Pelodiscus sinensis: one gene and its partner. The protein of the gene in region 2 interacts with the protein of the main gene of each other region in a pairwise test. Links are inferred from orthologs where the notes say so. Each region holds a gene or a part of one and is shown on either strand. Other genes may lie near its edges. The genes, in order: FOSL1 and CREB5.

Region 1 (8,231 bases), on a different chromosome or scaffold from region 2:
GGCCTTGTGGGTCCCTTCCCAGCCCTGGTGTGCAGGTGTCACCCGCAGGGTATTGGTGCCACCCAGCCCTGGGGCAGCAGGCTGGCCGCGCCTTCTGTGTCAGAGAGAGAGCACACCTCAGGGGCTGGGCATGGGAGCGGAGCTTCCCAGGCCCCCTGCCAAGGCTAGTGGCTACAGCAGCTGGGGCTGGGCGCCAGGATGCCTGGGTTCTGTTGCTGGTACTGGGAGGGAGGGCAGGGGAGTATAATGGCCTGGGGGTCAGGACGCTGGGTACTGTGGGCAGTTCTGGGAGGGGAGGAGGCAGCTGGGGGTCAGGACGCTGGGTTCTGTGGACAGTTCTGGGAGGGGAGGGGGCAGCTGGGGGTCAGGACGCTGGGTTCTGTGGGCAGTTCTGGGAGGGGAGGAGGCAGCTGGGGGTCAGGACGCTGGGTTCTGTGGACAGTTCTGGGAGGGGAGGAGGCAGCTGGGGGTCAGGACGCTGGGTTCTGTGGGCAGTTCTGGGAGGGGAGGAGGCAGCTGGGGGTCAGGACGCTGGGTTCTGTGGACAGTTCTGGGAGGGGAGGAGGCAGCTGGGGGTCAGGACGCTGGGTTCTGTGGACAGTTCTGGGAGGGGAGGGGGCAGCTGGGGGTCAGGACGCTGGGTTCTGTGGGCAGTTCTGGGAGGGGAGGGGGCAGCTGGGGGTCAGGACGCTGGGTTCTGTGGACAGTTCTGGGAGGGGAGGAGGCAGCTGGGGGTCAGGACGCTGGGTTCTGTGGACAGTTCTGGGAGGGGAGGGGGCAGCTGGGGGTCAGGACGCTGGGTTCTGTGGGCAGTTCTGGGAGGGGAGGGGGCAGCTGGGGGTCAGGACGCTGGGTTCTGTGGGCAGTTCTGGGAGGGGAGGGGGCAGCTGGGGGTCAGGACGCTGGGTTCTAGCCCCTGTGCGGCAGCTGTTGGCACGCGGACGGCAGGCGCCGCAGCTGGCAGTGGGGTGGGGCCGGCAGCTGTCGCAGGGCCGCCCTTATGCAAGAGGAAACGGCGGAATCTCAGCACCCTGGCCACGGGCTGGGGTGAATGGCGGGGCCAGGCGGGGTGAGCGCGACCGTGACTCAGCCCCGCCGGTTCTGATGACTCACCGGGCATGACTTAGCACCCTGGAGCTCCAGCGGGAGCCATCTCCCGGTCTGCCCTGCTGCCGTAGCCTGGAGCCCCCCGCCCCCACTACACGCATCCAGCTGCTGTGGGAAGGAGCTGCCTGGGGTCTGTCTTCAGTGGACTGCCTGGGTCCCCCTCTCCCACGGCTCCGAACAGCCCAGAGAGGGAGGCGAGTCGTAAACCCAGCTGGCCCTGACCTCCTCCTCAGCTGGATTTTCAGCTCCGTGCCCGTCCTGCGGGACACGGACGGAGGAATCCGGAGATGAAGTGGTTGCCCAAGAGCTGGCCCAGAACCCAGCAGTCCGGACTCCCATCACCCCCAGCCGTAGAGCTCAGGCGTCTGCCTTCCCCTTTCCAACTCTAACTCCTAAACCCCGCTCCCCTCCCCGAGCTAAAGTGCTGCGGGTCTGGCCGATCCACCAACCCGCTGAACTTAGATGCCCTGCTGCATGTGCTTCCTCAGCCCCCTCCTGGATGGGGTATACTGTGTGTCATAAACCCTGTAGGATGACATTTGACGGGGAGTCCCCCCGACTGGAACAGGGTCTCTGGGGTGTCTCATTACGGTGGCTGGGCGGTGGGCAGGGACACGGACACCCCAGGCCCCCACAGCGCAAGATCAGCGTAAGGCTCAGTCAGCTGCCGGAGTAGGGAGCCCCCCCCCCCCATCACTCTGCTGTAGAGCGCCGGGCGGGGGAAACCCCTGCATTTTTCTGCTGTCTGCACGCGAGTGCCTGCGTGTGGGGGGGAGGGGGCAAACAAGCAGGCGCCACGCGGTGGGGTGAATCAACCCGGAGCATTAGTCACCGGGGCTCCCCCCAGGAGGGAGAGTGAGGGCTCCCCTCCCCCCGCTCCTCCAAAAGAAACGAGAGCGAAAACGAGAAAGGAAAGGGAAAGCACAGCATGGGCAGGCGGGACAGAGCCTGCGGAGGGGATCGGTGACTGGCTAGCGGGCAGGTGGCGAGCTAGGTGGGTGAGGAAGGAAGGGAAGGACAATCAGAAAGTGGCATGAATAGACAGCTGGGGATGAGGATGGCTAGAGAATAGATTAGACAGGAGAGTGGGTATGACAGACAGTGAAGGAATGGGGGTAAACCAACAGACTGTGGGGGAATGAGGGTACACTCATAGACTGTGGGGAAATGGGGTGGACTCACAGACAGTGGAGGTGTGAGAGTAGACTGATAGTGGAGGAGTGGGTGTACACTGACAGACTGTGGGGGTATGGCGGTAGACTGACAGACAGTGCGGGTATGGGAGTGGACTGACAGTGGGGAAAGAGGAGCTGGAACAATTTGTATCATGGGGGCGCTAGAGCCACTGTGAAACCAGTACCCTCCCAGCGCTTCTGGAGGAGGTGTGCATGGGGACTGGGCACTGCCGGGCAGACATCAGGGGAGGTGTGCATGGGGGCGGACAGACAGACAGGTGCGCATGGGAACGGGCAGATGGGGAGGTGTGAATAAGGACCGACAGACGGACACAGCGGAATAGGTATGGGGATTGGAGACAGATCGACTGCCCCCTAGTTCTTTTCCCTTTGCCCCGCTTCCCCCTTACCTGCTGCGGCTGCCCTGGTCCCGGAGTCCCTGGAACGACGGCCGATCCCATGCTGCGCAGGGCAGGGTGCTGAGGGCGAGGGTTGTACGAGGATCCCGGGCCATCCGTACTGCCCGCTCCATAGTTCCTGAACATGTCTAGATCTGCTCTGGGGCCGTAAGATGCCGGGTCAGTCCGCCAAGCGCTTCTCTAAACTGGCTCCCTCCAAGTTACTTTTTTTATGAATGGGTACTCCAGGACCTGCTCACTTTAGTCTAGGCAGGGGAGGGGCGAGTCCCACCTCACGCCCTTTTCAAGTCATCAGGAAGCAGAGAATCCCCGCTCCAGTAACCCACTCTGGTGTTTCTCAGACTTATTCAATTAAGATGCACCCTTTTTAGGGGAATCAGAGTTGGTGAGCCCCTAAAAGGACAACCAAGTCAATCTTTCCCCCTTACTCTAAATCTACTTGGTACGGTCTGGGGATTGACTCAGTGCTCGATGACGTAGATGTCCATATATAGTATGATTTCCTCTGGCTTGCTCTGCAATAGTAAAGGATTCCCCTCGGTGTTTGTTTCCAAACTCTGTTTGTTCAAGATGCGTATCGGAGATCCCGTCGCAGCACTGCAATAACAACGCCACACAAACAAACACCCACACCTATACACTTTCACATACACCCCGAACCTCAGGCAGGTGCAACACCCAACACCGCTCACATATGTACAACCACCCCACTCTTACTACAGCACACACCCTGCACACCACCACGGCGTGCACCTCTGTACCACACACAGCTGTGCAACAACACGTCCATCCCCTCACAACCACGATGGATGTGGAGCTACATGCATCGCTGTTGCACAACTACAAGCATCGTTGTTGCACACAGAAATACACACATGGGCACCTTCCACACCCCGCGCAACAATAAACAGGCCTAAACACGGACAGACAGACACTCCCATCAGGCCAGGTAGATGGTTTTCACATGTCAAAGATACAAAGACGCAGCGAAAGACACTCTCCCCCCCCCCCTCCCTCCCTTCCCCAGCGTCCAATACATGAATTCGGGGCTGGCTGGATAGGACCCCAGGAGCAATGCGGGCCGGGCCCTGTTTATAGGTGCTCGCTTTCCCCCCCCCCCCCCCCCCCCCCCGCACATGCCTGGCGCTGCCAGGTTTTGGGGCCCAATGAGATGATTGTAAATCCCGTGAATCCCCATTTCCCCCAGCGGTGCAGGAGCTGGAATTCCCCCCCCCCCCCAAGGTTAGAATAGGAACACCCAGCCCAACCCAGGCGTATCCCCCTGCAATCTGGCTGCGACCTCTCCTCCTGCAGTACCGCAGAGCCCCTTGCTCTTTGAACAGAGACTAAGCCTGACTCCCCCACCCACCCCTGCTGAGACTCTACAGTCTCCCCTCCCCGTAAGCGGCTGGAAGATGCCCTAGTGTGGAGAATGGAAGTGGCCAGCTAAGTGGGACTCAGAACTGTATTCTGTCCCCAGCTTTGGAAGGAGGGAGGGGGGCCTATTGTGTTAGAGCAGGGGCGGGGGCCAAGGCCCCTGGACCATCCCACCCTAGCTCTAGTTAAGGAGTGGGGTCAGGTGGGTTAAAGTAGAGGGGGCTGGGGTCCTGCCTCCTGGTTCCACCCCCAGCTGGTGGTTTCCCTCGCTCCGAGTGGGCTGCGGGGGTGTACATTCCTGACGCGCAGCAGACGCCTTTGGTCAGAAGCAGGAACTGAAAGCGCCTACCAGCGAAACTGGCAGGGCTGGGCCCAGTGCAGAGAGTGAGAGCATGTCCGGCTCCCGTCCCGCTGCCCCGCGGAGCCAGAGCGCCAGAGTTACCTCCCGCTACTGCTCGGAGACCCCGTGGAGCGAGGGACCCCGTTGTGCCAGACACAGCACAGACCCAGGGAGACACCGTCCCTGTCCTGAAGCGCTCACTGTCTAAACAGATCCCATGTGGAAGGAGAAAATAAGGCACAGAGAGGAAGAGGCTCCTTTAAGGTCACACAGCAGGTCACTGGGGGAGCAGGGAATGAAACCCAGAGGTCCTGTTGCTCAGAGTCCCCTGCCTTAACCGCTAGAACCCCCTCCAACCACCAGGAAGAGAACCCCAGGGGTCCTGGCCGCTTCCCCCAACCTCCAAACAATCAGTTCTTCTGGGCCGTGGCCACAGGGTGGGGGCCAGTGACTCCCCGACCAATGCACCATGATCCCTAGGGTCTGGCCCTGTGCGGGTTAACAATCCATCTCCCCAAGGACCAGGACAGGATGTGAGACACAGGAATGCAGCTGATCTCATGCTCCCGGTGACTAACCTGGCAGGAATGGGGGGCAGAGAGCAGCCAGCTGGCACCCTGCCACTGGCCTTGGGGACCAAGGAGAGATCGGGAGCTATGGCTGACTCCCATCCTAGCTACTGTCCCCCCTGCTCCCCGGTATTTAAACCCTTAGCACAGAGCAATGCAGTCATCCCATTTCCCTGGAGACTAGCATGGGACAGATGCTGGGAGGCTGCAGGTTGGGACTGAGTGTCACCGGCAGAACCACATGGGGAGGGGGAGCCCAGGATTGGAATAGCAGGGAGCTGCAGACTGGCATTGAGTAGCACTGATGGAGGGTGCAAAGCAGGGGGCTGCAGGCTGGCACTGAGGGGAACAGGCAGAGCTGGGGGGGGGGGGAAGCCCAGAGCAGAGGGCTGCAGGCTGGCACCGAGGGACACTGGCAGATCTGGGGGGGGGGGGAAGCCCAGAGCAGAGGGCTGCAGGCTGGCACCGAGGGGCACTGGCAGATCTGGGGGGGAAAGCCCAGAGCAGAGGGCTGCAGGCTGGCACCGAGGGGCACTGGCAGATCTGGGGGGGAAAGCCCAGAGCAGGGGGCTGCAGGCTGGCACCGAGGGGCACTGGCAGATCTGGGGGGGAAAGCCCAGAGCAGGGGGCTGCAGGCTGGCACCGAGGGGCACTGGCAGAGCTGGGGGGGAAGCCCAGAGCAGGGGGCTGCGGGCTGGCACCGAGGGGCACTGGCAGAGCTGGGTGTGTCCCAGCATTTCAAATTCTCCGGTCATCTTATTCCGCCTTTGAAAGCAGCAGCAGTTTCCGGCGGATTCCTGGAGAGCGATGGAGCTGGGGGCGGGGGGTTTCACACAGGCTCCCTCCAGATCGGCACGTGGCACTCACAAGTGTGTGTGGCTGCGAGGCAGGAGGCAGGGCCCCTCCGTGTCTATGGAAGGAACGGGCCAAATCCCAAACAGGAGACGGCCGAGCGCTTTGTGTGCTCATCCACTTACTCACCCTTCCTCTTCCTCCTGACTTTACTCACTTGGCGACTCGGGGTTTGGATCCCAGCCTAACCGGGCACAGCTCCAGGGCTGGGAGAGCAGAGGCTGCAAGTCGGGATTGAGGGGCAGTGGCAGAGACGGGAGGAGGCGATCCAGGGTGGGGGGAGGAGGCGATCCAGGGCGGGGGGAGGGGGCTTTAAGCTCGGCTCAAGAGCCACCTCTCTGGGACTCAAGGACAGCAGGGAACCAGCGTTACCATCTCCTGAGGACACGCAGAGCATGTTAACCCCTTGCTTGCTAGAGCAGAGGGACTGTGGGTGCTGCAGGGCTGTGGGGCGGAGGCTGCCTGAAGATCACCAAACATGTACACCGCCCCCCCACCAGCTGGTGAGTTGGCAGGGCCACTTTCAGCAGTGGGCTGCGGGGGGATAGTCCTTCCTTATCTCCCCTCCCCCACAGTTTAGGGCCCTCCCTCTGCTCTGAGGCTCAAATACTGTCAGGCTGAGGTGCTACAGCATGAGAGGCCATGAGTCTGCGGGGGAAGGGGTATCTCTGCCCATCCCAATCGTGGGCACAAGGGCTAGGGGTGCCAGTATGCACACCAATGCCGCCCAGAACGCAGAGAAGCCCCAGGCACCCTGACACCCCCATGCTGCTCTAAGCTAGCAGTCCCCATAGCCCTTCCAGCATCCCAGTAAATCATCTGCCTGGGTTGGCCTAAGAGAGAGGCTCATGGTCTGTGCCTTTCACCAAAAGCAGTTTTGCCCCTTCCTGTTGCTCCCACCTCCCTTTGGCCCTGTCCCCTGAAGCCCTGCCCTGCTTCCTACCTGCCGTGCTATGTAGAAGATCCCTATGAGCCAGGACTTCTGGGTTCTATTCCCAGCTCCGAGAGGCCAGACAGTTGCATGGCAGCCCCTTAGCATGAGGGTGGGTCCCTCCTTGGGCTTGAGGCAGATGGTGCCAGGCTGGCATACTGAATTGCTGGCACCATGCCCAGCCAGGAGACCGTCCTGGAGCAGCGGGTGTCTGTGGAGCAGGAGGGAGCATTCAAGTCAGTTGTCTTAGTGCTGAGAGATTCTTGTAGAAAAGTCAGACTGGGGCTATGTCTACACTACAGAGTTTTTCTGGGATACCAGAGTCCCAGAAAAACTCTGCTGTGTCCAGAGAACACCTCTGATCTTCTGAATTTTTTTCAGAAGAGCAGATGCACTTTTTCAGCATTCCTGTAAATCTCGTTTTACAAGGAAGAAGGGATGTTCCAAAAAAGATTTTTTTTCTGACATTTAGCCCAGTGTAGATGGACCAAATGTTGGAAAAGCCTCTTCTGAAAAAAGAAGCGGAAAAAGCTACACAATTTGCACTTCACAATGTGCATAGCTTTTTCTGGAAGAACAGTGTAGTGTAGACATAGCCTGCGTGAGACAGAGTGAAAGAGGGATTGGATACAGGGCCTTTCTCCTCTTGGGGCACTGGATTTGATGTGACCCCAGACCGGCTCAGGGGATTGGGTAAGGGGCTATAGAGCCTCTCACCTCTAGGGGATACCTGACCCCATATAGACCTAAGTCATTCATAACTTCAGGCCATTCACAGCTCTGCTGGTGGACTGAGTTGTGGGCCCCATGCCCTGAGGTGTCTGCATCACACCAACCCAAACAGAGAGGCCAAGGGCTGAAGGGTCCACAGAGAACCACTTCCCCTTCAGAAGGGGGCTACAGCAGGCCATTTGTGGAAGAAGGTCTCCATGCTGCAGCCCCATTTTAGGACAAGTATAATCCAGGGCTACGTCTAGACTGGCATGATTTTCCGGAAATGCTTTTAATGGAAAAGTTTTCCGTTAAAAGCATTTTCGGAAAAGAGCATCTAGATTGGCGCAGAGTTCACGTTATAACAATGCGCTTTTGCAGAAAAGCATCCGTGCCAATCTAGACGCACTTTTGCGCAAAAAAGCCCCGATAGTCATTTTCATGATCGGGGCTTTTTTGCGGAAAACAAATCTGAGCTGTCTACACTGGCCCTTTTGCACAAAAGTTTTGCACAAAAGGGACTTTTGCCCGAATGGGAGCAGCATAGTATTTCCGCAAAAAGCACTGATTTCTTACAGTAGGAAGTCAGTGCTTTTGTGGAAATTCAAGCGGCCAGTGAAGACAGCTGGCAAGTTTTTCCAGAAAAGTGGCTGATTTTCCGGAAAAACTGGCCAGTCTAGACACAGCCCAAGGGTTTATACTTGGCCTCTCTGTTTGGGTTGGTGTGATGCAGACAATGTTCCCTCTAAT
Region 2 (7,419 bases):
CTAACAAGCATCTACTTTATATGATAAAAAAAGAACATATGAACTCTTAATGTACAGTGAATTAATGACCACAACATACCAGGTGCATTCAACTAGTGCCAAGTAAGTTAATTGATATGACAATGTAAATTAAATGTTCCTTTGTGTGACATATAGGTGACAGCATGCAAAATATCTGAGCAAAGATGATATCTATCATTGTAAGCACTGTGTTAAAGAGAAAATGTCAGATAGTATAAACCCAAAATGGGGGACACTTTCTACTCTGCGTCCACACTACCACTGAGTTCTGTCGACATAACGTCGACAGAACTCAGCAGTTTTGTCGACGCTGGTAAACCTCATTTTACGAGGCATAATGCCTTCTGTCGACAGAGTTTCTGTCGACAGAAGGTGTTATTGCATGTAAACTGTCCTTTGCGACCACACTACCATGTCGACAAAGGAGCTTGCTTTGTCGACAGAACTCAATGTAGTCTAGACGCTCTTTGTCGACAGAAGTTTTGTCGACAGTATCTGTCGACAAAACTTCTGTCGACAGAAGCCTGTAGTCTAGACGTACCCTTGGAGAAAGAAGCTCCTATTCCACTACTCAAATACCAGTGAATTTGACATCAGTCAGTTACATGGAAGCCCATCTTCCAGAATTTCAGGATATCAGTTATATGACATAGCATTTCTTGATTGACAAAGGACAGTGCAGCTTTTTCTCCTTCTATTGATCCTAATATATGAGCTTAATTGTACAGCATTCCTGTGCTGTTAAATAACTGACTTGTTTCTCCCCAGAAATAGCTGCAGTTGTGAGTGAACTGATTCTTCTGTTTATAGTTTGAAATATGAATTGGGAACACTTGAAATGAAAGGTGTTTTATAAACATAGGCTTATTTATAAGAGTCCAAGAATAATACCTGACAAAATGAAAACAAATTATACTGCAAACAGTTTATTCGTCCATATCCTAAGAAGCTAAACTAACTCAAAGTCTATCATCAGGACCTCTATGAGCTTTAAACCCTATATAAAATATGGGTAAAAGTCAAGCACAGTAATTATTTAACAGTGGTATAGAAATGCAGAGCTTTTATGTTGCATCACCGTAGGCTTAGGAGCTAAAAGCCTGCATCAAGATTCTGAGTAATTATTACTGAGTCAACCTTAAAAAACAACAAATTGTCCTGCAGCAACCTAGAGACTAACAAAAATGTAGGTGGTATCATGAGCTTTTGTGGGCACAACCCACTTCTTCAGATGAATGGAGCAAGGGTCCAGAGGTACAAATAAATAGCAGAAAAAGAGGGGATGTGGAGAGAAGGAGAAGGGGAAAAAATGGTTCATTAGAGTGTTCATGGTAAATGAGGCTAATAGAGTGGGCTGTAAGTGCCTGATACTTAGCTTTTTTATGTCATTAGGTTGTTGAATGTAGCAGCCCATCCAGTTCAGGTCTTTGTTCAAACCTTGACTAAAGGCATCAAATTTACAAATGAAGGCAAGTTCCACAGTTTCTCTCTCCAGATAGTTTTTTGAAATTGTTTTGTAAGAGGATAGTCACTTTTAGATCCATTAATGAATGGCCAGGCAAGTTAAAATATTCCCCAACAGGTTTCTGTGTGTTACCATTTTGAATATCTGATTTGTGTCCATTAATCCTTTGTCATATAGACTGTCTAGTTTGGACAATATACATGGCAGAAGGGCATTGTGGGCGCTTGATGGCATATATCATATTAGTGGATGTGAAGTTGTATGAGCCTCTGATCCTGTGGCTTATGAGGTTAGGTCTTGTGATGATGTTGCTTGTATAGATGTGTGGACAGAGTTGGCACTGGAGTTTATTGCAGGGGGTGGGTTCCTGGGTGAGTATGATGGAGGTGTGTTGTGTAGTTGCTGGAAAGAATTTGTTTCAGGGTAGGTGAAGATTGGCCTGTCCCCCAAGGCCTGTGAGTGAGAGGTCATTTTCCAGGATAGGGTGTAGATTATTAATGATGCGCTGGAAGGGTATGAGCAGGAGTGGCCCGAGGCTGGCTGTGGCAGCTGGCTCCCTAGGCAGCACGGCGCAATCGGCACCCCTGACTGAACGGCCATCAATGACCATAACTTCATCACGGGGCACCCCGGCGCCCTGTGATGTCATCATCGGGCGCCTGGGCCAGTGGTGCCTAGGCAGCTGCCTAGCACGCCTAGGCTCATGGACCGCCCCTGGGTATAAGTTGGGGCTGTAGGTGATGATCAATGGTGTTCTGTTAGTTTGTTTGTTGGGCCTATTTTGAAGAAGCTGATGCCTGGGTACTCATTTGGCTCTGTTCATCTGTTTTTTCACTTCCCTGGATGGGTATTTAAGTTTTAAGAATGCCTGATAGAGATCATGTAGGTGTTGTGTTAATGGCACGTTCCTCCAGTTAGCTCCAAACAGGATATATTAAGAGCGACAGTGTTTGTTTGGGTAGAGGAAACTAGACCATGGGTTGTTAGGTTGTTCTAGGAACACCCAGATTTGGGAGAAAGTTTAGTCTGGCTTATATTTTATTATTGAGTTAGTAATAAGTCAAGCTCCAGCAAGGGAAAGGGCTGGGCTAGGGCACCTATTCTACAGACTGTGTACCAGTTGGAGTAGGAAGGCAACAGAGTCAATCATATCTCTAGATGACTAGAAGGATACAATGCTAACCACTCTGTATAATACTTAGTATCTGGGATCAATGACCAGAGGTACCAGAGCTATAAATTGTGAAGCCTGAGGTGCTCAGGATGGGGTAAGGATGTTAAATTGTGTTTAATCAGCTAATTGAGTAGTAGATGGAATTTCCACTGACTACTTGATTAGTCGATAAGGGGGGAAACTGCAGAGGCACAGTGGGGTTAGTTCCTGGTCCCGCAAGCTAACCGTGTTGCATCTTTGCCTTTTACATGTATTAAGTGCTGCCAGGCGCTTAATACATTTAAAAGGCAGAGACGTAGTGGGGGGACTAGGCTCAAGTCAGGAATCAGCTGTCCTGGCTCTCATCCAGTCCCCCCTGCTGCGCTTCTGCTCTGCTTTTTAAATGTATTAAGCGCCATTTAAAAAGCAGAGGCGCAGCATCTGGGACCGAGTGCGAGCCAGGACAGCTGATTCCCAGCTCACGCCCAGTCCCCCCCCCCCCACTACGCCTCTGCTTCCCCTGCCCCAGCTGTGGAGATGATGCTCCCCTGTCCCCAGACCGGCTGCTGTTCACCACCTTGCTGCCCTTACATTTCTTGTAGGGGATGTTTATTACTTTACTCAGAGGAGTAGTCTAATGGACTCCTAGAACTAAAACGTGCTATAGTTTGCAACATTGAGGTGAAAATTGTATTTTTACATCTTACATGATGCTGATCATGTTGGTGCTTAATAAATAACTTGTGAATACATAAGGAACTGTCTTCATAGACCAACACCTAAGGAAAGTGAATTTACAGAAAAGTTAATTGATTTGCCTATGGTAACACAGCACATCTATAAGAGAAATCAGGAACAGACCCCCATCTCCAGACTCCTATTCCTTGTCTTCAGCCATTCTTTCCCCCCATGCTTGTGAGGATCTGATTCAAAGCCCTGTGGAGTCAGTGGCAGTTGTTTGTGTGGTAGCATGGTAGCTGTAAGACAGGAAGGCAAGGCACTTTGTTGTGTGTGTTTTACTTTTACCTTGGCAGTGTCCCTTTAACGCTGCATAGATAGGCAAGACTAAAATATCTTCTCTCCCTTGCTACAGCTTCTGATCTCTCCACCCATATCCCTTCTATGAAGCACAGTAATGCAAGTCCTGTTGTAAAACCCCCGTGTAAGAGAAGCAGTCATATGTAGCGATACGATCTAGAGATGAATGAGTTGGCGGTGGGAACTAAAATCCCCCCTAGTATTCCCCTCTCCCCCCAAAAATATCAGATTGAGGGTTTTAGCTCAATCGGGGAGAGATTGCTGCGTTGGGCCACCAGCCGCTACACAGTACACTGGCAGCGCGGGAGTTTAATGGGCGGACTGGAGCGGTTCTTCTCCTGGGGCACACTTCGTGGAGTGGAGCTCAACCCACCCAATTCGGGAAACAGCTCTTGCCCGGCCCCTGCGAATCAATGCAGCCTAGTAGGGAACCCGCCTCTTTGGACTCGTCCCTGCTTCCTCCCCAAATCCATAAAGCGGGAGATTTTTTCCAAGCTGACTCACACGCCTCATGTCAGTCCTGTCACATCCAGCGCTGCAAGCTGTTGCTTGAGCCGTGGCTGCTTTGCACTAGCCACCCGCCCCCTCTGCTCTGGGTGGCTGGCGGGCGGGGGCGGAGTCCGGGGAGACCACGCCCCCGCGGGCACGCCTACCCCTCCGCTCCCCCGGCGCACAGGGACCGCAATGATTTAGAAGTTCAGGAATCCCACGTGACGTCACCGAGGGTGATGTAATGCTTCTCTAAATAGAACGTATTGTAACCTTCCCTCAGTCCAACGTGGTTCCTTCACCCAAGCTGCTGGTCCTTTCCCTTCTACACTTGTTTGGTAAGTTCCTCTAAATCTTGCTCTGACTTTATGAAACTCACTTTTCAGTGCATTTAAAGTCTCGCTTCCTGGACGCGTTAAAGTACTTGTGTGCATAGGACTGAGCGGCTAGGGACTGGGAGCGTGTGTGAATTAACTGGGGAGAAAAGGGGGGAGGATTTAAAGTTAGGGGGGAGACATCTCATTCATTGCAAAGAGGTTTATTGTGTTGGGGGTGGTTTGAACGGGGAGGGGGGAAGGGGGAGTAAACAGTAGCTTTTTGCTACTAAGCCTGGGACTGTTTAGTTTGTTTTCAATGTATGATAGTACTCATTTGAGATTCCCCCCTCCCTTTCCAGGAGGCGCTTTAGTGGCTGCGATGTTTGATCAGTGAGATGCTTCTGTGAAGATGGCTTTTTGAACGTGTGTGTGTATCGCTCATTCCTCTCAGTGACTGGCCGGGTGGTGGGGGTGGCGGTGGGGGCACCGGAAAAGTTGCTGAAGCAGCAAGAAGCGCAGTGAGCAGTCGGAGCGAGCGAGGGCAGCAACTTTGCGATTCCTCTGTTCAGTACACCAAGCAAACAGTTGGAAAGTTTTGAAACTCTCTCGCTGTGTATGTGCGTGTGTTGAAACAAGAGCTAGCGAAGTCATTAGTATGCTGCCGGGACCGTAAGCGTGTGTATGCATGTGTGTCCGAGAACCGCTGAGATGTAACTGCTGCTGCCATCTCCCGCTGTCTGCACGGAGCATGTAGGTACAGACTGTGGCAAATTCAGTATCATTCTTGCTGTAGCTCTTTCGGGAGAGGATTTTTTTAACTAGACACAGAAGTCTGGAAGGCTGATGCTCCCCCCCCCCCCCATCTTTGCCTTATTTCTTTCCGGCATAACATCTTTTCTTGCCGCTGCTGTAATGACAGCTCTTGGGTTCCTAGAACTGCTCTCAGAAGTCTCCCTGTCTTCGTGAAGCTTTCGCTTTCTTCTTATCTGAACTAGATTCCAATCGCTGCAACTTTGATTTAAGTTTTGGAAAAGGCTTCTTAATCCAGAGCACCAGAGGCTCAACTGCCTACCGGTTGCTGGTTCACGTGTATGTATTGTTTCTTAAATGGACTTTTATTGGTGACTGCACAACATACTGATCTTCCCACCTCCCCTTCCTCAGCTCCAGTCCCCACATGATGCCTATTGTTATGGCTCAGGACTGGAGTGGGCTGTGTGTATATTTCGTTGTTAGGTGGCTGCATCGCTATGTTTGGTTCTCTCCCGCCGCTCCCCCCCCCCCCCCCACGCCCTTCTGACATATCTCTGGGAATAAGGCTGGATACTGGGCCATTACGTCATTCTGCAGACTAGTAAGTGTTTGATTAACAGCCTTAGATACTGAAGGGTTCAGGGGGTTAGAAGTGCTGACAAAGCAACTCTCCCTTTTACAGTCCCCACTGGCTAAGCACATCTTTTTTAAGCCCCCCCCCCCAATTCAATCCATATCTCCTTTATTACTCCTGTGATTTAGGCTTCTCTCTCCTTCTCTTTAGATAACTTTTGTCCTTCCAGAATTGTAAAGGGTTCTGGAATGTAATGGGAATACCTGCTAAACCCTGCCCTTTCTGTTATTTATGTCCAGGCATGAGTGAGCCGTCATCTCCCGGCTTTATTATAAATGTTGCAGTCTGAAAGAGAGAAGTGGTTCAAAGTGGATATTAATTCAATAAAATGATGGTCCACATGTGTGTCTTGTACAATTAAAATGTCTAAAGAGTACTTACTTAACACAGTATGACCAGAGGATTTCTGTATTTTATCAATAGGAAACAATATACAGACAGATGGAAACAGATGTTAGACCAAAGGACAATAAGAGTTCTTGGGTTTTCCTTGAGACCATACGTTTCAAAGATAACTCTTCTTCTAGTTGCACCAGAGTTCCTTTGCCTGGCCATTTGGAGAAAATATAGTGTGTCAAATAACAGTGGAGGAAGAATTTTCTTCTGAAACTGTCAAGTAGAAATAATCCAGAAACCAGACTGTAAAGTTTTTTTTTTAATAAATTGTTTCTAGAGTTATAGGGTGAGAACAAAATCAAAGAAAATCTATACTTTGACACAGTTTGTGGGAATTTGTTCTGAAGTAGATACGCTTTGGTAGAATATTAAAAAAAAAACTATAGAAAATGTACAAGTTTGAATGCCCCCTTTGGCATGTCTTTGGATGAAGTCAGCATTACAATGTTAAAAATACTTTTAAAATGTTAAACTTCTCATTTGTTACTCCTTAGTCCTAAAGGGAGCAGTGCAGGTTGCAAAGCATCAGAAAAAAGTGTGGTTAACGATCAGTGATTAGTGATAAGTGATTAGTGGTTTTATTCAAACTGTTACCTCTGACCAGAAGCACACATCAGAGGATTAACAGGCTCTTTAGATAAATGCTCATTAGTGGAAGGAGAAAAACGAAGATAATAGGCATGCACACAGGGACAACTTTCGAGGAAAATCATTCCTGTCTCTGGAATAATAAGCTCTATTAGCAGAAAGCCTCTTTAAATTAAAAGTTGCTTTTATCTTGTAAATCAAAGTTAGATGTAGAAGGTCACTCTGCTATTATAAGCTAAATTTTCCCATATCCACTAGATGTGGATTATCCCAGTTGTGATATTTATTTAAATAAACAATTGAATCTTTAAAGAAACTGAAAATTCTCAAGTGCCAAAGTCCTGTATTTTAAGGTATCCACTTCAAACATAGAAAGGGAAGCCTGCTGTCAGCTAACTAGATGGCGTAGTACTGTTCTCTGTGAACATACAGTTCTGGATTATAAACCAAGCAAGTTGCTGCTTGCTAGATGTCCTTCAACACTTTCTACAAAGTTGATTTTGTGCTGGTTTGGAGGTTAGACAGTTCTACAAGTTTTTAGTCACTTTTTCCATGTCAGTTAATC

Evidence for each region.
Region 1: the proteins of CREB5 (region 2) and FOSL1 interact in binary tests that used the Homo sapiens proteins (3 or more experiments, as listed by UniProt). The two-hybrid records come from large-scale screens. The link is inferred for Pelodiscus sinensis from reciprocal best matches to the Homo sapiens genes CREB5 and FOSL1.

The regions. Positions count from the first base shown.
Region 1 is NC_134721.1:32,505,134-32,513,364, reverse strand, and holds the start of FOSL1 (fos-related antigen 1), read right to left. Parts: upstream 3,027-8,231; 5' UTR 2,828-3,026; coding exon of another isoform or gene 2,815-2,827; coding exon 2,693-2,814; intron 1-2,692.
Region 2 is NC_134712.1:195,670,270-195,677,688, reverse strand, and holds the start of CREB5 (cyclic AMP-responsive element-binding protein 5), read left to right. Parts: upstream 1-4,211; 5' UTR 4,212-4,504; intron 4,505-4,842; exon of another isoform or gene 4,843-4,910; intron 4,911-4,958; exon of another isoform or gene 4,959-5,233; intron 5,234-7,419. UniProt on the Homo sapiens protein: Binds to the cAMP response element and activates transcription.